3 linked regions of the Drosophila melanogaster genome follow. The protein of the gene in region 3 interacts with the protein of the main gene of each other region in a pairwise test. Each region holds a gene or a part of one and is shown on either strand. Other genes may lie near its edges. The genes, in order: scra, stumps and tum.

Region 1 (8,600 bases), 6.3 Mb from region 3:
ATTACGGTTTAGTGCTTAGGTTAGATGAATCCAAATTCAGCAGCCCCGAGACTTGCATCGAAATTCAGCTTTATCTTTGCGTTGCCACTGCACTGCAACACCAACTAACACAGGCAAGCCACACAGTACAGACAAGACAAGACAAGTCCTGACAAGACTAGTCAAGACAAGACATGTTACGTATATGGAAATATGCCCAGTATTATAGCCCTAATATTCTAGCGAACGTTGACAGTTTGATTGCTAAGCGGAGTATCCAAAGCAGTTTGAGGCAGTGTATCCGAATCCAGCGAATGCCGAATTACCAAACAGTAGCTACGCTGCTCTCGCCTTCGATTGATGTTCCCCCCTCCTTCCGCCTTCTGCAACAGAGAGTGTACATAATTTATATACATATATAATTGCATTCCAAACCCGATCCACCGAGGGCGCTGCTACTGTTGTACAAAGCACAAGTATATCCTGCATATCTGGCAAACTGTAATATTTTGGATGTTGATTTACAACTAACAGCAGATTCAAGTCAAAATATATACATACATATATACCTATACGAGAAATATATATCTATACATTTGATAGTGTTGTGAACTAGAGGAACCCACACTGAACACTCCGCCGGCGGCAATGCGTAATCCACTTTTGTAGATAGCCTTTAGGCCGACCTTTAGGCCAAGTGACAAACGCAAGGAAGTTACAATCTTCCACCCAGAGTCAATTGAGATGGCCAAGGAGCAGACACACTGACTACCTGACATGAACCACCTACACAGTACAGAAAACCTGGTGCCGAAGCCGAGATGGGCACTAGAACAGCCGGCGTCGTGATAACACGCAAGCTTTAACTTTCACTTGTTGTTAGATTCCGGATGGTCAGAGATAAAAAGATAGTTAACACGCGGAAGCCACGTAGCGATTTCTTCTTAGCCACGAGTTCTTGCAAAACGATATACATATGTGAATGTAAATGTGTACTACGTGTATAAAAGTATTCAATAAACTATATTAAATAATCAGTGTACAATTGGCGTTAGTTCTTTTTACGGGGGTTTACACATATATATTTAGCGAGTCATCCTAAATTAAATGTACATAAGTAAAAAGTTATGTCGATATAGACGAACACGAACGTGTCCCACTCCAAGATGGAAACGAAAAATTTGAATTGGAAACATAAAACAAAATTAATACCAATGCGAACACGATTAAAATAGCAAATTGAGTAACTTAAAAAGAGAAAACTGTTAACAACCCGCCCGTTTGTGGTCATTGTCCGTGCTGCTGACAAAATTGCAATGGGTCAGCGGGTCAGTGGGTGGTTCCCCAGGCGCGCAGCAGTGTCAGTGCCTTGTTAAGGTAGGCGCACCACTCCTCGCGCTCCTCCTTTGTGTCGGCTGAGAGCAGATGGCGCACCGTGGTGGTACGTCCGTTGGGTACGATTATCAAGGACTCTTGGTCTGTCTCCAGCGCCGGCCGTTCGCACTCCAGCAGCATGGTGTTGAGACGGGCGCAAATGTCGCGCGGTGCCGTGGTCACCTTCTGCGAAGTGCAGGAATTCAGATCTATACTACCCATTGGCGTCTTGCGCTTCTCATCATCCGGGTACTTCCAGTAGTTGATCACGGAGCCATTCAGATAGCACCAACGACGATGCCATGCCCCGAAACCGGAGATGTCTTCGAACATGGTAAGGAATCCCTTGTACTCCACGCTTACGGATAGTTCGCAATTGACTTTCATGTGAACCACACCCTCCAGTGGACTGACGCCCAGCACCTGGGTCAGCGTCCATGTGGTGCGTTGAATTTCACGCAGCGAGAAAATGGCAAAGCCGTATTGCACCAGCTGCGGTGTCCGTACCACATGCGGTCCCGCCGGACTTTGTACTGGCGGCATCACCAGTCGATTCTCGCCGCCCTTCTTCTTTGGCGTCTTGATGCCACCCTTCTTGTTCAAGTTGATGTGGTATTTCAGCTCGTGAGGCAGCTGATCGCGTTGGGCCAACATGCCATAGATTTCTAGCGTGATCTGCAGACGAAGTTTTCGCAATAAAATCGAATATTGGCTAAAGAAGCAAAAAGCAATATTTACCCTGAAGTCAGCATATACATTGTTTAGTTGCAGGACATCGGGAAACTTGACAGACAGCAGCCCTGGCATCGTGGGTACTGTCTTGGTGGCCAGCACGTGCTCATTGTACTTCAGGAGGCACACAAGATGATGGCCGTTAATGTTGTTCGAGGCCATTTTACGCACGTACTCCTGTCGCAGTGGAATGGTTATGTCCTTGACCGTCAGTAGGCCCTTTTCTTTTGGTGCACCCACCGGACGAATACTGTTCTCAACTCTTAAACGCTGGACTTCATCCAAACACGCCTGGCGTCGATGGGCTGCAAGGATATTAAAGAGATGTTCAGCTTAATTGGACATTCAAATTGCCAATTCGGTTTGGAATTCAACGAACAGGCAATTTATACTTGAATACACTGAAGATCACACTTACTTGCAAGAAGGAGATATCGCTCTCCCTCCACGGACTCTGTGGAGCCGGAGAATTCTACGGTGGCAGCACAAAGGTTGAGGGCCTGACTGGCTTGTCCTATCACCTGCTGCTGCTTGCACACCTCGCTCAACAGCTTTTTGATCTTGTCTTGTGCCTGCGATGCATCGTTTACTTCCCGCGCATTCTGCATCTCTTCATCGTCCTCGTCGGTCTGATCAGCTATGTCAGTTGCTGCTGCGACATAATCAGACTGCTGAGGAGAGTCGTACTCCAGTCTGTGCTTGGCATGACAATCGCCTGCTAGGGCTGATCGCATGACCTGCTGCTCTCGACAGATCTTGCGAACCGGTGTGGAATTGGAGCTCTATAAACAACGAGTACTTAGAATTTGTTAGTTGTGATATATAAGTAATCAACTCACGTTAGCGCTCTGTTGGCGGCGATAGAAGCTGACCGTGTGCACCAGGGTAACCAGGTTGTCGTTGTCCTGGTTGACACTCAATTCAGACTTGACCGGCTGGGCACCACTGAGCAGTGGCGTCTGCAGGTCCATCTCCATCTCATGGTGCTCTTCGATAGGCGTGCAAATAGAGGCAGGATTTTTTCGGAAGGAAAAGCTGTTTGAGGCCGTCGTTCCTTTGCTCTGAAAATGTAATTAAAGAATTGTTTTGATATACGAGGAAACTTAATCAGCAAGTACTCACGCCCAAGGACAGCCGACTGGCATTTTGCTCGTCCCCGCTGTCGCTCTGGTCATCCTGAGTGCTGCCGTAGTCCTCGACAAGTGCTTCATCCAGATAATCATCGATGCCCGCTGAGACCTGCGACGAGTTCAGAGAGCTGTCATCGTAATACATGTCCTGGTCCGCATAGCGCACAGTCTGGAAAGGTGTGAAATCGTGTTAATGGTGACCACCCGCTGTGTTGACAGTTTTTACCTGCACTTACCTTCTTGCCCGTCTGCTGCTGCTGCATCTCCACTTCGTTGCGCTGCACTGCGCTCATTATCTCGCGGCCAAGACTGCCATTGCACATGCCGGCGCTACTGTCCTCAGTCTGTGACTGGTCGTCGGACTCATCCATGCAACTGCACGAATCAAAGATAAACGGTTAGTTAAGAAAGCGATTTTATTGTTGGTCTTGTCTAGGGGATGGGGTTTAAAGCTATGTCTCTTAGGCCTATCAGTCTTGGAATGCTACTCGATGCAGAGCAGAAATAGCAAGCAGGAATAGCATTTTTCAGCGCACCTTTCGGTTTCCTCCTCGTCCTGTTGATGGCTGTCATCCGTAGCGGAGGCAGTTTCGGCGGCGCAGCAGTTGTCACCGCTGGAGTCGAGGTCGGACAGGGCGGGATACAGACGATCCGAATGCGATTTGCGGGCTCGCTTCGAATCCTCGTCAGTGGTGGGCGCATCACCAGCTGAAATTGCGGATGTATAAGGACAAGTCCTTAGATAAAGGGTTTAGTCATTTCTTACGTGATCGCCTCTTGCTGCTGGCCAGTCCGGGCGAGAGAGCAGCGATGGGCGGTGGTGGAGGCGGTGGCATGGGCCGCACTACTCTGCTGGGAGCTGGCGCGGGAGGTCGAGCTTGAGCAGCCACAGAACTATCGGATGGTTGATTGTCAAAGAGCTCCTTTTGTTTGTTAAAGCGATTAGAAATAATCTGCATGTCTTCCTGCCTTTGGCGATCAATGTCCTTGATACGCGTCTCTGCACTTGATTGCGCATTTGCCACCAAAGCGGCCACCTTGTCACGCAGCTTGTTTTCCTGTTTCGGCTTGGTTGCTGCAACCACGGTAGTAGCTGCGGCAGCAGTCACCGGATGCATTGCAGCTAAATGTTCTGTTAACAAAAAAAAAATGAGTATGAGTAGCTATTATGAATATAGAAGGGCTGCCAAACTCACGTTTCACCTCTTCCGCTCGGATTTGGGTAATACTGGGAGCAGATCCTATTGGCGCCATCGGCAACATCGCTTTGTTGTTGCCCGTTTCGAACAGCTTCATCCGCTCCTTCAGCGACAGCTCACAAGGATCCTTCTGGTTGCGTAGGCCTTGCGACTGTCCTCCGGTTCCCTTGTTTTCAAAGAGAGCCGCCCGTCCGGAAACCAAGCCGGACTTCACACTAACAGCAGGCGCTGGTGCGGGCTTAGGCGCTGGGGCGGAAGATGCAAAGTTCTTGGCGACCTGGCTGACCGTCGTTGATTTCTGCGGCACTGGCGGCTTGGCAGTTAATACCGCATCTTCCACTTTGGAGGCTGGGGCCGCCTCTTCCTGTTTGGCATAATCATATGTGTGTTTAATGGTCGATGATTCGCGGCGCTGAAAACCTTGTGCCTCCAGAGAGCTCAATACCTTGGGATCCCACTTCAGCTGCTTGGTCCTGCTTGCCTCGTCGACTTCATCCTTCTTGGGTGGCAGTGGAGCTGGACCCTTCTCGGCCCTTCGACTGGACAAATGCGGTTTCGGTGGAGGTGCTTCGAGCAGTCTGTGCACTTCGTGGTGCGACGTGTCATCCTCCCACTGATTGATGGTATCCGCCAAGGCGGCCAGTTTGCCCAACCGTTGTTTTGGTTGCCTGCTGCTACGGTTGCCGCAGTCCTCTTCCTCACCCGTTGTCACATGGAACTGCCCCTCGGTTCGGTGGATTGGGGAGGATAGATCGTCCGTGTTTGAGTACAGGGCACCCATGCGTTGCAGTCGGCTGCGGGAAGTGTCCCTTAGCCTGGCTAGGGGCTGGTTTACTGGTTCCGCCTCCAGCAGGGGATTTAGCGCACCTCCTTCCGCCTGCTCTTCGTCATCTGTCACCTCCTGCTCCTGAATCTCAACTTGCACCTGAAGGTAGTGCAGCAAGGATGAGCAAAAGGGAAGAACCCAGAAAAGAACGGGAAAACTTACCCCAATTGGCTTGTCCGTGGTTATGTTTATCTCTATGCCCATATCCAAGTTTTCCTTGTTTACCGCCGTATAGTGACGCAGCGGCTTCGCCGGCGACGCCTCCAGCGTGGCCTTTCCCAACGTAACGACCTTGCCGCCGCCGCTAGCCGCGCTCTGGCCTCCAGGCGACCGGCTCCTCGGTGCCAGGACCCCAGCATCCCCGCCGGATGCGGAGGTGGCGGAGGAGCTTGGAACGCTGCACTCGACGAGCGGAAATTTGCTGGCATTGCTGATGCCAAGGGCGCGACTGCGCTGTTCCGCCTTCTCGAGCATGTGCTGCAAGGGAAAATGGGAAATAGCAGTGAAAATCCGCGGGTGCCTTCACTAACACCAGTGCAATCACCAGACAAAGGGCTTTGCTGTGTGCGAATTGGCCTCGTACCTGAGTAAACGGGTCCATTGTTGTTGCTGCAGCTGCAAATGCAAATGCGAGTTGTGATTGCGCGCACTATGCTATTGAATTCACTGTACTGCTCGACACTCCACGTTGGCGATATTTGATGTTTGTTTTTCACTGGCGGGTTGCGCGTCCGTTTGCATTCGAAATTCTGCGCGTCGCTTCTGCTCGTTTCGGCGGTTGGCTTTTCAGATGTGTTGAATAATTTCAAAACGACGCGCAAATGCCATAGGACCCTCAACTGACCACGACGAAATACCGAAATTGGGGAGAAAATGCCAGTGGTGAGTTGCCAAGGGCTGCCACTTTGTCGTATTTGGCAGGGTGGCAGCTCTGTCGCACATCAATGGTTAAACCGGTTCACCAATCACACATATTTACCGGTTTAATTTCGGCCGACAGCTGTTTATTTTTCTTAAAGCGTTATCAAAAAGGGTTTTTATTGATGTTATAATATGAATATCCAACCGTAATTTACCACGTATCACTTTCAATATTTATCACGCATAGCTGGTAAGTTAAGAACCTGGAATTAGGCTTGAAATGCACCTTTGATTTCTCTGGTGAGCTGCACACGTTGTGCCGTCAGTGCTGTATGTTTTGGCTAGAATTTTGGCATGTTTCCTCTATTTAGGCTACCTCTTTAAGTTTGGCTTTTCTGTTGGGGTTTCGTTAATTAATGTAGGAAAACATTTCTGGAAATAATTACGCTTAAATATATAGAATTTGTTTTTTCAGTAAATTGTCAGCGTCCGCCATGAGTGACCAAAAAACAGTAAATTTGCTGTGGAACTGTGCCTCCAAGCTGACCGACCAAACCCACACAGAACGGATCCTCAAATCCTATTACATGTGAGATCCGTTGTCAATTCCTTAAGCACCCACTAAAATTTCGTTTCCAAAACAACCCAGAACCACCTGTAGGAAGCTGGCCCGGCACAATGTCCAGTTGCCCGAGGAGAGCTTTGGACCCGCACGCATGTGCTCCCGCTGCGGGAACCAGTGGACAGGTGGCCGCTACCAGCTCCACCTCCAGCCACAAGAACTGATGCAGAGTGCTAAGAACCGGAGACTGATCACCAAGCTGGAAGCCGTGAAGGGCAAGATGGCAAAGGGCGAGATGAACAGCGGGGCCAGGAAACGGGCCAAGTGGCTCAAGAAGCGTATGGCCAGTAACATGGTGAGAACCAGGAGCTAATAGAATGTCTAGAATATGTCTAGATTGTGGGAAAAAATACTTTTATTTCTTTAATTTCATAAATATAAATATAATATCTCTTTGCTTCCATGGATGAATGGTATAGATGGATAGTTTAGTACCTTATAAGCGCAATATAAATTTATGTATCAAGCTTCTGGGCAAATAATAATTTAAATTAACACCAAGGAAGCTGAAAGATCTTTATACAGTGTTTTGTGTGTGTACATATGGACCCATTCCTGCCACTCTAACCACAACCCAATTCATTTTGCAGGCCGTGGACTGCGATGTTTGCCATCACAAGACAATGTTGGCTCTGGAGAAGAGCCGAAAGCGCGCCAAAGTAAAAGCCACGGAGGAGACAATGGTAGTCACACAACCTGCGCCAGCGGGCCAAAACAAAAAGAAGGCCAAAACGAAGAAGTCTCAGGCGCCGAATAAAGATATCAATGCAGGCCTGAAAATGCAGCAAAAAGCGCCTCAGCGACAGCAGCAGCCTTCGAAATCGCCAGCTCCATCCAAAAACGCGTCCCAACCAGTCGGCATAGCTTCCCAAAACCCAAGTCAGACATCGAAGAAGAAAAAGAAGAAGCCTGCCCAGCCAGCGCCCACCGCACCAAAAACGCAGTCCAAAACCCAGAAGCAGAACGTACTGCTGCAAATAGCTGCCCAGCTGAAGTCGAACGCGTTTAAAGACGCCAGCAAAACGCAGCAGAATCGCCTCCAAGCGTTCCTCAAGTAGCGGCCAGAAGACAGCTCCGGCCATGCATTAAAGTACAAAGAATGAAAATACTTGTTGTGGCACATAATTAAGCGTTAGCACAATACTAGAATCAGACTCTTTGTGCCGCTTGATAAAGCCAGCCGAGGTGGGAACCTGTTATCCACTCGCCCGGTCTTCTGGGTCGAATCACGCAACGGCTATGCACTTATCACTGCTGCCGGAGACAAGTCCAGGCGGGGGGACCCAAGGTTGTCCAGATATTGCGCAGCCAACCTGGTCAGCATGCTTAATTTATTTCTCGGAGCGCAACGTTTAATTAAAATTGAGTTGTTTGCCTCAGCATCCCATGAACGCGTCCTTCAAAACTGCTGCCCAAAAAGGGCAGCCGATCGGCTCTGGACGGGCCGCTTTATCTGCCGCCGATTGTGAAGAGCACACGCACAGGAGAAGGCTCCAGACTCGGCTTCGACCCATGGCCCTCTGCTTACCCCTTTCTGTGCCGAAGACTCGGATTTCTCGGCAGCTGCGGCAACAACATCTGCCTGCCACATTAGAAGATTTCTGGTTCCACAGACTAGCCACTCGGCACGAACATCTTGTATGCATGCACATGCAGAATGAGGAAAAAAAAGTTTACCTTAGGGAAATAATGCCATTTTAAGGACAGTTACTTAATATTAAGAAAATGTGATATACAAACATAAATTGTAATAGAGAGTCTTGAAATTATAATACAAATATGTACAATTATTCGCAATGTTTATATTGTTGTAAACAATAATATTCTGTAATTAAATATCTGAGAAAGGGGAGCCAGAACTTCGACTATCGAGCGTA
Region 2 (6,047 bases), on a different chromosome or scaffold from region 3:
AATTACTTGTTCAATGTTCTGTTCGATCGAAGAGGAAACTTACAGGGGTTTAAAGTAGTGCATGAAGTGGGTATTATTAAATGAAAACCAAAAGGGTAGAGTAATATCTTTAATAATCCAAACCTCTGTTGGTAAGACCAAAATGCATCTTTGTAGGTAGATGTACAATATATATTCACACCCTATTGAACTTTTCCATAACTGACCCCAGAGAACAACAAAAACACGGGGAATTTATTGAACTCTAGGCGGTGCGTAGTAGTGATTAACCCGTCAACACCGATGAACAATCAGCGAAAGTGCAGCGAATGGCGCCCAATCCCCGTGGCAAGGGAAATGGAAACTCAGCACAAAGCCGGGTTGGGATGCTCCACTCTGTGACTAACTAGACAAAGCCGCGTTGCAGTAGAGCGTCTACAGATTTACGACTCGCCAGTTGAGTCCAGATCCCCCTGGCAGACCCTCCTCGTCCGCGGAACACGTGGAGCGTGCTGGCGAAGACAAGCATTTGACATTTATGTGCAGCAAATGCATTTGCCCAAGTACTCGAGCAAGGCAATCGGCTGCAAGTGCAAGTACCCTAGTGGTTCAAGATCATTTGCATCCAGCAGCAGCCAAACAAATACGTTTGCACTGGGAGAAATATTTAAAATGTTTAAGAAACTCATTACATTTGTTAATATCTTAACTTTTCAGGATATAACATGCTAAGTGTTATATTATATAACATTAAAGTTATTTCTGCCAGTGTAACGTTGCAGAGTCACTTGCTCCGCAGAGAGCCGCCACTCAAAGATCAACCCTCGATGGCAGACTCTCGCCTTTATGGACTACGAAATGTGCAATTTCTGCTCGGGTACCGAGTTTTACGATTTTTCCATAGGTCCCAATATGCCGGGCATCTGTGTGGTAGGGGTTATTTGGTTGTTGGCCCAGTATCGATGGCAGGCCCGATTTTAGACCCAGTCCACTTAGGAATTCCACGGACAGACCACATGGACTCTCTAGCATTTTGCCACTTCAGTTGTTGCTTCAGTTTCAGTTTTTTTTTTCCTAGTTGCACTGGGGAAAAATGTGAAAATGTGTTCCCTTAGCACAATTGTTGCTCTCCCCTGGCTGCAATTTTTAATGTGCCTTTTCCGATGCGCGTTCTTTTTTTTCTGCCTTTGATGCTCTCGAGTTTCCCCTAATGTGGCTGGAATATGTCGCCTGGCCATAGCTTCTATTATGGCCTTCTATTTTCGGCCCAACATTGATGACAATTTTCATATTTGCCATAAAGTCGAAAGGCAAATATTGCGTATCTTCAGGACAATTGAAGAAATGCTCCAAATATGAGTTTACTTTATGCTAATATATTAATATACAGCGTAAGTAATCATCATATTTTTGATGAATTTCTGGCATCTGTATCATCAAACATCCTAAAACTCTTTGTATAATTTTTTTTTTTTGTATTTTTTCCCATGATATTTTGGAAGATTAATTCTCCCACCGCTCTGCGAAGGTGAGTTCTCATGGTCCCTCCCGAAAAACGTCTCATAAATGTTTCCTGACAGTGAACATCATCGAATTGAAGACCAACCCAACCACAGACAACACTCGGCGCACAAACTCAAACTTTGACACTGATAGAACATGGGGAATACTAAACCGGGGGGCTCACCTCAGATGCTACAATATATATGATGATGGTATATGCTATGTGCGCCACATCAAGTTGGCTTATATGCTAGATGGGTCTTCTATTTCTGCTATCGGAACTCATCAAATATGCACGACGAGACCAAGACAAAACGTACGCTCACGGATGGAAAATGGGAAAGGGACAGGAGACAGGGACAGTGGACAGGGGACAGAGGACAGGGAATCATGGATATCATGGAAATCATGGACTCGGAGCGCGCTGGCGATGATAATTTGATCATGCGAAAAGCGCACGCAAAAGAAAAACATGCGCAGGTACAACAACAAAGTCGTTGTAGTCGAGGAAAAGTGAGTTTTCCTGATCGCCGATCGGTTTCTAGGGGTGGGGGAGTACCGAGTGGGTGATGGCAATATGGCAACCATATTTAAACACTGATCCCGTATGCGTGTGTGCGTGCGCGGGCGGGAGCGAGATGGGGTGAGAGTGCGAGGGAGAGATGCAATGTTTTTATGCTGCTGCCGATGTCGCTGCACTGTGAGAAAATAAGAGATGAGAATTGATTGATCTCTCAAAATGATGTACAAATTTATTAGTGAAGACACAGAAACAGACATAAAGAAATCAAATTTACCGATTAAATATTATTATTTTATTTAATTAATGTATCCAGTTCAAAATCTTGTGGTACTTATTTCAAGTAATTTTTTGTATCTGAATTTATTAAGAAAATTATGCCTAACAGTTTCGCTTAGAGAATTCGAAAGAAAATATTAATATGAGAAGGTGGGATTTTTCGGTATATTTATTTTTATCAGTGCACGCTGAGAATGGGAATGGATGAAGAAGTGCGCGTATGGTAAATAAAAACCAAAACACGAGGAGGGATTCTCTGCGTCGGCAGAGACGTCGACAGAGACATCGGCGGTGGCAGAGGAAAATGCAGACGGCGCGGAGTGTTTTGTTCTCGTTGAAGTTTTAGAATTTATTCCGTTTCGGGATGTCAATGCAGACGCACGCACTGCGCGAACTCAAGTGAACTGAAGTGAAATATTAAGTCGAACCATCACGAACTTGCATTGCCGCCTAAATTTGAATTTTGAATTTATTTGCCCCGTTTTTTCAAACTGACAATTTGTTAAGTTGCCATTTGTGGCACTCCCCGTTGTGATTTCCGTTTACGGTTTCTCGAATTCGCGCCCTGTGCGCAACTTTTGGCGCGTGCGCATGCGCAGCCAGTGAAAGTGCAAATGCATCGCAAATCAGAGCTCTGAATTGTGGTAGACTCTGCGAATCGCATATCAACTAAGGAAAAATTCACTGCATAAAGGATCTCAAGATGTTTGTCACTGTGGATAACACAAACACCTTCTTCTCAGGTAAAAAGAGTGAAAGAGTTTCTTAAAGACTTTATAAGTTTCTTTATGCGAAAAGAATTGTAACAAATATCAAAGTTTTAAGTTAGAAAGTATGAGCAAAAGCGAAAGATTATACAAAGATACAGAGATTCATACAGATTAAAAACGTACATATATGATATTAAATAAATGTTATTTATTATACTTTATAAGCACATCCTCAAACTTTGATAAGTTCAAATCAGAAAACTAACTCCATTCCTCATTCATTCTATTGCAATTGAACTCCCCAGACAACCCGTATTACTTTTGCAATGAAACCAAGTCGCCGCGCACCCCGGACTCGCAGTCCTCCAGCCGGGGATTCTCGATCTTCAAGCGGCGCAACTCGAAGGGCAGCAGCCCCCGGCCGCTGGTGATGACCAATCCGGAACAGATGCGACTGATCACATCCGCCAATCTGGATACCACGGCTACCATGGCATTAGGAAGTCCGCGGGGCAGCTTCAATTCCCTCGCCGGCTATCCGCAAGTGAGTAGCGATTTAATAGAGCATATTCCGATCTCCGATTTCGGAATACTGATTCTGATTTATCTGCTGGATCTGCCACTTCCTGTGGAGTCGAGTGAGCCCTTCTAATGTGCCGTCCTCTTCCGTTTTGCGCATTTCAGCACGCGATTGAACTGCAGACGATGAACATGTACCGCCAGCGATCTGCAAATTCGCACTCAGAGTTCCGGGAACGCCTGAATTCTTGCAACGAGACCCACAGCTCCCAGTGTCCCGGAGGAGGAGGTGCATCCGTAGCTGGGGATCACGACGAGGTCTTCAATCCGCTGACATCGCCAACAAGGTGAGCAATCCCCAGAATCGAGCATTTAATGGGGAGGGTGAGGTGATGACAGGATGCGATTGCAGCTGTTGACAGTTTCGAACCGCCCCCTTTTCCGCCCATGCTAATCGTGCGCCCTTTCTTTTCTCCCCCCACCCCCCATCTTTGCGACCAATCCTCAGTAGCAAATCGCATCGACATCACACCCTGCCAAGTGGCGGAACTCGTCGCCATTCCCTGGGAAACTGGGCCCAACATCAGCATCAACAGCAACATCAACAGAACTCTGGAGCAATGGGACTGGGATCTCCGGATGAGGTGCCCAGCATGATGGCGCCTCGACCGCCGCTCCTCTCGCCAAACAAATTCCGCGGCAGTTCCCATCGACGAAGAGGTGAGTTGACGTTCCACGACACTTGCATTTCCCATCTGCTCAGTATGCCACGGGGCAATCGCGAATTCCTATGCTAATCTGGGCTCAATAAGTAGAAGTAATCCATGTAAATGGAAATCGTTTAGCAAAGTTTTCAGATAATAGAAAAGTCGATAGTTGACAGCAAACGTATATGGATTATAGGATATGGCTGTTATGTCCCTAAAGGAATAAATTTTGGCTCACAAATTTTTAATTTTCTTTGAGAGCTATTTTTTAAATATCTGCTTATTGCTGTGTTATTTAATTTACTCGAGTCTAATATACTTTTAGTTATTTTAATATGCCCCACAAGTTCAGCCGACGCAGTGACAAAGACAAAGTGGTTGCAAATTGCATTCCCTGCCCTCGTTTCGCGTTCGCATTTTTGCACTTTGGCGGCTGTCAGGCGTTCACTCCCCTTTGCCTGCTACTCCATTTTCATGCCCCAAAAGTCCTCCCTTCTGGGGTTTTCCCCCCTGTTGACTCCTCCAGTGGCTGCCCAACAACCTTTACCTCGCAGCTTTGCATCACGTTTGCATATTAAGCGCAACTGCCAGCTCTTCGGAATTTGTTTTTTCATTTTTCGCCTGGCAGGCGCCATGGAATTGGGTCCACTACCCAGCCCCTTTCAGTTCGCCCTCACATTTAAACCACGTTAACAACATTGCAATGTTTACGCAAGTGATAATTGTAATAGTATTTTGTCGCCAGAGCGTCGCCAATCTTTGTTTTGGCATTGTTTTTCCCCGGCAGTGGAGTGGAGCTTCTGTTTGCCTTCGATTTTGTGGCGTAATGAGGGGATCGCATATAGCCGATCGAGCGTATATATAGCTGATTGTTGGCAACGCGCCTTCCTGGCTGACTGACATTTCGCGACTGGCCTGACATTGACAGTCCTCCGTGTGATGGATGCCCCTAAAGTGGGCAGTTGCATGCAAGATGGAAAGGCCTCCTGGTTTACTCGTATGTCCAGCAAAAGTCACAGGTTTATGGTTTATGAGTCGCTCAGGACTCCTTTGCACGATCATTGTGTATTCATCATAAGCGTTTTCAAGGTTTCGCTTTCATGACATCTGATGATTTAAGTTGATTTAAGGCACTTCGTGTGACGTTTAAATCCAGCGCGATTTTCGAGTCTCAAAAGAGATGAGAAATAAGTAGTAGATGAGATACTGAGGAGTGTTTCATACATAGAAATTCAGAGCATGTAGATCTGCTTTAGAAGTGCCGCAATTTATTAGAAGTGTGCCATTAAAGTTTTTACTATTATAAAAACAATAGATTCTTTCCCTTATTGTTATTGTTATCAATTATAATAACGGTTGCCCACAGCGCCTTATTCTAAAAATGATCACCCACCATATTCGACACACTTATCGCTATGGTCACTTGCAATCCATTCGAATCTTTCGCCATATGCAGGAAACTAGGCAATTCGCCTCAATCGGCAATTAACCCACAACACCCACGAACAATTCATTTCTAACACCTAAATTTATGGCAAAGTAAAAACAAACCGAACCGAATATCTCTGCCATATTTGCGAGTGTCCCACTGCAGTTGCCAGTTCGATTGGCATAAGTTATACGCATTTCCGCTCTTTCAATAACAATGGCCATTGCATTTTGTTATTATGTTGCTGGCAACGGGGCGGATGGGCAACATGGGCGATATTGGATGTGCGGATGGTGGAGTCAACAAACGAATCGCTTGACGTGGGCGGTGGGTGTGGCCGCATGAGGAGCATAAATTGAAGAACTGCACATCCAATAAGGCACAACCAACTGGCTGGAACG
Region 3 (6,113 bases):
ATCCTTTACAGGTAAATACCCGGTGAAGCCCAAGTTTCCAGCCGTTGGCGGCAATGAGTGTGTGGCGGAGGTCATCTGCGTGGGCGACAAAGTCAAAGGCTTTGAGGCAGGACAGCACGTCATTCCCTTGGCCAGTGGCCTGGGCACCTGGACCACCCATGCCGTCTACAAGGAGGATCAACTATTGATCGTGTCCAAGAAGGTTGGCTTGGCGGAGGCCGCCACCTCGACAGTGAATCCCACCACTGCCTACCGAATGCTAAAGGACTTTGTGCAGCTCTGTCCGGGTGACACGGTCATCCAAAACGGCGCCAATAGCGCCGTCGGCCAGGCAGTGCACCAATTGTGCCGAGCCTGGGGCATCAATAGCGTTGGCATTGTACGCGACCGCCCAGAAATTGCCGAATTGAAGCAGATGCTGCAGTGCCTGGGAGCCACCGAGGTCCTAACAGAGGCCGAAATTCGCACCAGTGACATCTTCAAGTCGGGCAAGTTGAAAAAGCCCCGTCTGGCCTTCAACTGTGTGGGCGGAAAAAGCGCCACGGAGGTGTCGCGTCATCTAGACAATGGCGGAGTGCTGGTCACCTACGGCGGAATGTCCCGCGAACCCGTCACAGTGGCCACTGGACCCCTCATTTTCAAGGACATTGCATTTAGAGGCTTCTGGATGACTCGCTGGTCCAAGGAGAACTACAGTTCACCAGAGCGTTCGAAAATGTTCAAGGAGATCTTCGAGCTGATGGAGCAGGGAAAGTTCGTGGCCCCCAACCATGAGATGGTGCCCTTGGCAAAGTTCAAAGACGCGGCGGCCGCTGCCTTGAGCTTCAAGGGATTCACCGGCAAGAAGTACATACTGGATATGAGCATTTAGATGCGTAACTCGAGGCTAAGCCTGCTGTTTATTTACATATACGACTTGTGTATTAAAATTGTTATCTACTGTGATACACTTTAGACCATCTCCACCTCATTGGACTGATACTTCAGCTGCAGAGTCATGGCGGACGGCGAGGTGGCATCGGTGACTGTGAGCTGCTGTCCATCGTGTAGACCCAGTTCGCCCAGGCTCTGAGTAAGGTTCTTTCGGGTGGCCTCTTCAATGCTCTTTACCCCGGACATGTACAAAGTCCGCCGCTTGCCGTCCTTCATCACAGTGGTCAAGGCTGGGCTTTTCAGCTGGAAACGCGGGGAATCACACAATAGCTTTATCACATCCTCCAGCGTGGTGGTGTTGGGATCCTCAATCGGCAACGGCTGCGGTGTATTGCTGCACGCCAAGCAGTTTTCCGACTTCTCGGCCTCGTAGGTGTAGGTATAGATTCCGTCCAGGTCGTTGAAGTTCAGGTAGTTTGCCATGCTGTCATAGCAGCTGGTGGCCAACTTAAAGACCTCCAAAGCACAGGCGGCGGCAATGGCTGCATTGGTACTGGCCACAGCTGGAATGATGTGCTTGACAACGCCCTGGACCAAGCGATAGGTCACTCCGGTGATGTTAAACTCATTGGACCGCTCCAGTGCCCGTTCGTAGATCCAACCAATGTGCTGGGGATCGTCCCCATCGAGGGGCACTCCAAACGGATTCTGTTTCTCCCACTGTATGATCTTTACGTACTCAATGCAATGCTCCGGAAGCCTGGGAGTATTTGCTATGGTGCATAGGGGATAGTTGACCTGCGGCGGGAACAGGTCCAGCGTGCACTCAATGCAGGCCGTGAAACCGGGCAGGATGACGCGTGCGTTCCCCTTGAAGCCCTCGGTGCCGCCATCAATCATGGGCACTATGGAGCTGGTATCTATGGTGCCGTCCTCCTCATATCGCAGCATTGATAGCAGCATGCCATTGATCCAACGCCGGGCGACAATGGAGTCTAGGCCACAGACAACCAGGTGGAACTGCTGATAGAAGGACTCATCGAAGTCCTGGATTTTCTTGAAATGCGGCGTCACCCGGCAAGTAGGCACTCTTGCGTTGATGAAGCGAGCCGCACACTCCGCCTTGGAGGCGCCAATGTCTGTGCGACGGAACAGAAACTGGCGATTCAGGTTGGACAGCTCGATGGTGTCCATGTCGATGACGTGCAGGTTGCCGAAGCCCATCAGAGCCAGATCCTTCAGCAGTTCGCAGCCCAGGCCACCGGCTCCGATGATCAGAACCTGGCACTTGGTCTGCAAGAACTCCAGGTTTTCCGACGAGGCCGCGAAACCGTCCTTGCAGAAGGGACCTTCGCGTTCCAGGATGTTCCGCAGTCCATTGAAACGCTTGCTCTGGAGGATTAAGCCAGGATTGGGTGAGTGGACAGACATTTTTCAAACAAAATCGAGACTGTGATTCGTTTAGCAACACTACTCGGGTCGGAATAAATATTAGTGATGGTAGCTTATGTGAATAAGAATTTATATAAGACATATTGTAAATAAAAAAAAATATTGTAATTATATTATTATTAATATAATCATTTCAAAAGTATTAATAGGATAACATTAAATTATTTTTTATTTAATTCCGAAAGAATTGTTAACTTGAAACAATCTCTATCATCTCTAACACGATCAGATCGATATTTTCTGTTAGCATGACTACCCTACTGTTATTTCGAGCCACCCATTAATGGTCACACTGCGCAGATGGCGTCAATTTGAAAACAACGGAACTTGAAAAAATTCAGCGCGTCTTTTGCAGCGTGCTCCGTTTGCCACTCGTTTTTGGGTAAATACTACTGATTTTCAGTAGATTTCGAAGTTGAATCAAGGAAACCAGTGTGCAGGCAGTCCCTGCGAGTGAAAACCGATTCGTAGAACTACCGAGACAAGCAAAAATGGCGCTCTCCGCATTGGCGTCCTTCGATGATCTGCGACGCTGCATGCAAGTGCTTACCGATGGAACTCCTGAGGAGGGTGAGTAAAACTGAAAACACGCAAGGCAAATGAAGCCCTACATGATGCTTGTATTCCATTTAGAGTTCCTGCGGTTCTTGCGCATGTTCGAGCAGTACCACGAAAAGTGCGCGGGCTACGCGGCCGAGACGGCCAGGATACAAAACGAGCTGGACAAGTCGTTGACCAAAATGGGCGACCTGGAGGGCAAACTCTTTCACGCACGCCGCATCATCGACATGGAGATCAAGGCGCGCCGCCAGGCGGAACACGAACGAGATGCCATGGAGAGCAAGATCATGGCTGTGGCAGATCTGCTGCGACACGAGCGCAATCTGAACAACGAGACCCGCGACAAGCTGGCCTTTCTGCACACACTGCCCTCGTCGCGAAAGCGCAAGTCCCTGAATGCCGTGCGGGAGGACAAGTCCTATGGCGACATCAACTCCACCGGATCGTTGCTGTCGGATTTGTCTATTACACACTCCGAGGACGACTTCCTCGATGTGCGCACATCAAAATCTTGGCGAGAGCATCGTCCTTCGCTGCCCAAGAACCAGATTCCTAGCGTTGGCAACAAGAGATCGCGATTGAGCACTGGACTGAATGGCAGTATGTCCGGGACTACACCAACCACTGGCAAATCGCGGCGCTCTAGCGTCGGAATCGGAGTGGAGCAACACACGGTGGACGTGGGTCAAGGCGCTGAGCGCTTTTGTGCCACCACCAAGGTCACCATACCCCAGGATGGACAGGGCGTGATTCGTGCAGAGTCGACCATTGAGTCGCTGCCTGTAATTGCCGGCAACGAGAGGATCGGCGACGGACTATCCTCGACGCCACGGCGATCGGTGCTTAAAGAGGCCACCGCACCGCCGCTGACGCCGGTAAATGCTATGGCACCTCACGTTGTCGCTGAATCCGGAACGCCACTGCAGCACCGTCCACTGATGAGGAACCACACCTTCAGTCAGAAGACATTCTTGCGTGGCGACAATTGCGTTCAGTGTCAGAAACGGTAAGCTTACTAGAAGTTCTGCTCCAAGTAGGTTTTTTTTATTAATTAAATACTTTTTATACTCTTCAGCATACGGTTTGGAGCCGTTGGGCTGAGATGTCGGGATTGCCCGGTGCGCTGTCACATCGATTGTCGGTATCTGCTCACCGTTAGCTGTGTGCCGCAAACGGGAACACCGACGACGAAGACCATGACTGGCTATGTAACGGACTTTGCACCATCTATTGCACCCATGATCCCGGCACTGATTGTGCACTGCGTAAATGAGATTGAAGCCCGCGGCCTGACCGAGGTTGGCCTCTATCGATTGTCCTCGTCGGAGCGGGAGTACAAGGCCCTCAAGGAGCAGTTCCTGCGAGGCAAGGCCACTCCACATTTGGGCAACACGGATATCTATGTGCTGTGCTGTTGTGTCAAGGATTTCCTGAGGTCCCTAACAGAGCCTCTCATTCCCACCAGCCAATGGAAGGATTTCGCAAACGCAGTCCAAAATCCTGACACCAAAACTGCCCAGGATATGTTGGTTAAGTCGGTGAAGCAGCTACCACAGGCCAATAGGGATACGCTGGCCTTCCTCATACTGCACTTCCAACGAATTGCCCAGTGCCCAGTCGTGCTAATGCCGATCGATAACATCTCGCTCATCTTTGGCCCCACCATTGTGGGCTACTCCACACCAGATCCCGACCAGCATGCGATCTACACGGAAGTTTTCACCCAGAAGCAGGTGATGAAGGCACTTCTTGAGCTGCCCGTTTCGTTCTGGGAGCAATATATCGTTATAGATCCGACAAGAACACCGGCCACAGTTATCAAGCGGGTGCCAAGCAACAAAAATGACTTACTCTCGCTATATGGTGAGTTATTTATGAGCTAATTTTTTTAATTATTCTAATTATCTCTCCTTCACAGCAACTCCCTTCAAAGGAGGCACCATTAAGAAGCGGAAGTTTTACGGCACACCGCCGGCATCTGCGCACAAGAAATAACGAGACTTTCCTTGTTGGAAAGCATTTGACGTGTTACTTAAGTTTACTTCAAGTATTTTGCAAGTTTTTTGTTTCCGGCCAGCCAACCCCGAGCTGTATTTGTACCCAACCCAACCATAAGCTTTTCTTTATAATTTATGCGTTCGATTATAAACTAAAGCACGTTATTATCGTACTAACATAAGTATACTCACCAGAGAAATAAACTAAAATATGCATTTGAAAAGCAATAAGAACAATGAACAAATATATAAATAAACGATAAAAGAATATAACAAGTTTTTATTCAAGTTCAAATATTTTTGAATCTGTTTAGTGAACTTACTTTTTTATATTCTTGATGGCAAATTATTGGAGGCATGTTAGTAACCAAAAGTATATTAAACATTTCCGGATTTGGATTTGGAAACGGGAATGTTTCGCCACAAAACGTGCATCACAACTAATGGCAAACTCGATACAACTTTGGAATATCCCTTTGATAGGATTATCTAAAAACGTGATAAGCTCGGTCATTGAAAATACTGACTGCCGCTCAGAAAACCCCATGACTGATAATTGTGCACAGCTAGAGCCGTATCATCATCAAACTGGTTTGGACAACTCTCGTAATAATACCCTTAACTGCGCCATGGAACCGTCAGTCTGTCGATTGGAACCCATTTAGAATGTTCGGAGCGCATCAGAATCTCTCAATTCAGCTGGTGATTTTTCTCTCCTTAGCCGTCACCATTTGCTTGGGATCCCAAAATGCCACAAGCTGCGGGCATCGCTGTGGAGGAGGCGACTGTATCCAACTGGACCAGCTGTGCGATGGGAGCGCCAACTGCTTGGATGGTTCCGATGAGACGGTCGCCATGTGTGAGAAGGTCTGGTGTCCGGGTTATGCATTTCGCTGCAGCTACGGTGCGTGCATAGCCAGCACAGCGGTTTGCGATGGCGTCCAGGACTGCGTGGATGGTTCGGATGAGCAGGGTTGGCTGTGCCGGGCGCAGATGCAGCAGGCTAACTGCGACAACTGGGAAATGTACTGCTCCTCTGGCCAATGCATGACCTATTCCAAATTGTGTGATGGCATCCGTGACTGCCGAGATGGAGACGATGAGCTGGAGTCCCTTTGCGAGGGCGTTACCATACCAACGACTACAGTCAGTTCAACGACAAGTACAACTACGGAAAGTAGTATCCATAGGATAACTCCCACTGTTCCTGTAACAAGGAAGGCGTCACGA

Evidence for each region.
Region 1: the proteins of tum (region 3) and scra interact in a two-hybrid assay, tested with the Drosophila melanogaster proteins (2 studies listed by BioGRID).
Region 2: the proteins of tum (region 3) and stumps interact in a two-hybrid assay, tested with the Drosophila melanogaster proteins (one study listed by BioGRID).

The regions. Positions count from the first base shown.
Region 1 is NT_033778.4:7,587,685-7,596,284, reverse strand, and holds scra (scraps), read right to left. Parts: upstream 6,167-8,600; 5' UTR 5,842-6,166; coding exon 5,824-5,841; intron 5,718-5,823; coding exon 5,403-5,717; intron 5,340-5,402; coding exon 4,412-5,339; intron 4,348-4,411; coding exon 3,982-4,347; intron 3,924-3,981; coding exon 3,752-3,923; coding exon of another isoform or gene 3,700-3,751; exon of another isoform or gene 3,616-3,699; intron 3,591-3,615; coding exon 3,452-3,590; intron 3,385-3,451; coding exon 3,208-3,384; intron 3,147-3,207; coding exon 2,925-3,146; intron 2,868-2,924; coding exon 2,504-2,867; intron 2,391-2,503; coding exon 2,092-2,390; intron 2,029-2,091; coding exon 1,309-2,028; 3' UTR 1,043-1,308; downstream 1-1,042. Other genes in the region: CG1360 (uncharacterized protein), read left to right, coding at 6,596-6,690, 6,751-7,018, 7,314-7,781. UniProt on the Drosophila melanogaster protein: Required for cytokinesis. Essential for the structural integrity of the cleavage furrow and for completion of cleavage furrow ingression and proper formation of the midbody.
Region 2 is NT_033777.3:14,588,986-14,595,032, forward strand, and holds the start of stumps (stumps), read left to right. Parts: upstream 1-2,634; 5' UTR 2,635-2,984; coding exon 2,985-3,024; intron 3,025-3,296; coding exon 3,297-3,535; intron 3,536-3,675; coding exon 3,676-3,857; intron 3,858-4,018; coding exon of another isoform or gene 4,019-4,021; coding exon 4,022-4,230; intron 4,231-6,047.
Region 3 is NT_033778.4:13,855,189-13,861,301, reverse strand, and holds tum (tumbleweed), read left to right. Parts: upstream 1-2,612; 5' UTR 2,613-2,816; coding exon 2,817-2,895; intron 2,896-2,958; coding exon 2,959-3,892; intron 3,893-3,961; coding exon 3,962-4,749; intron 4,750-4,804; coding exon 4,805-4,881; 3' UTR 4,882-5,152; downstream 5,153-6,113. Other genes in the region: CG16935 (uncharacterized protein), read left to right, coding at 12-871; Uba3 (Ubiquitin-like activating enzyme 3), read right to left, coding at 952-2,304; CG6553 (uncharacterized protein), read left to right, coding at 5,550-6,113.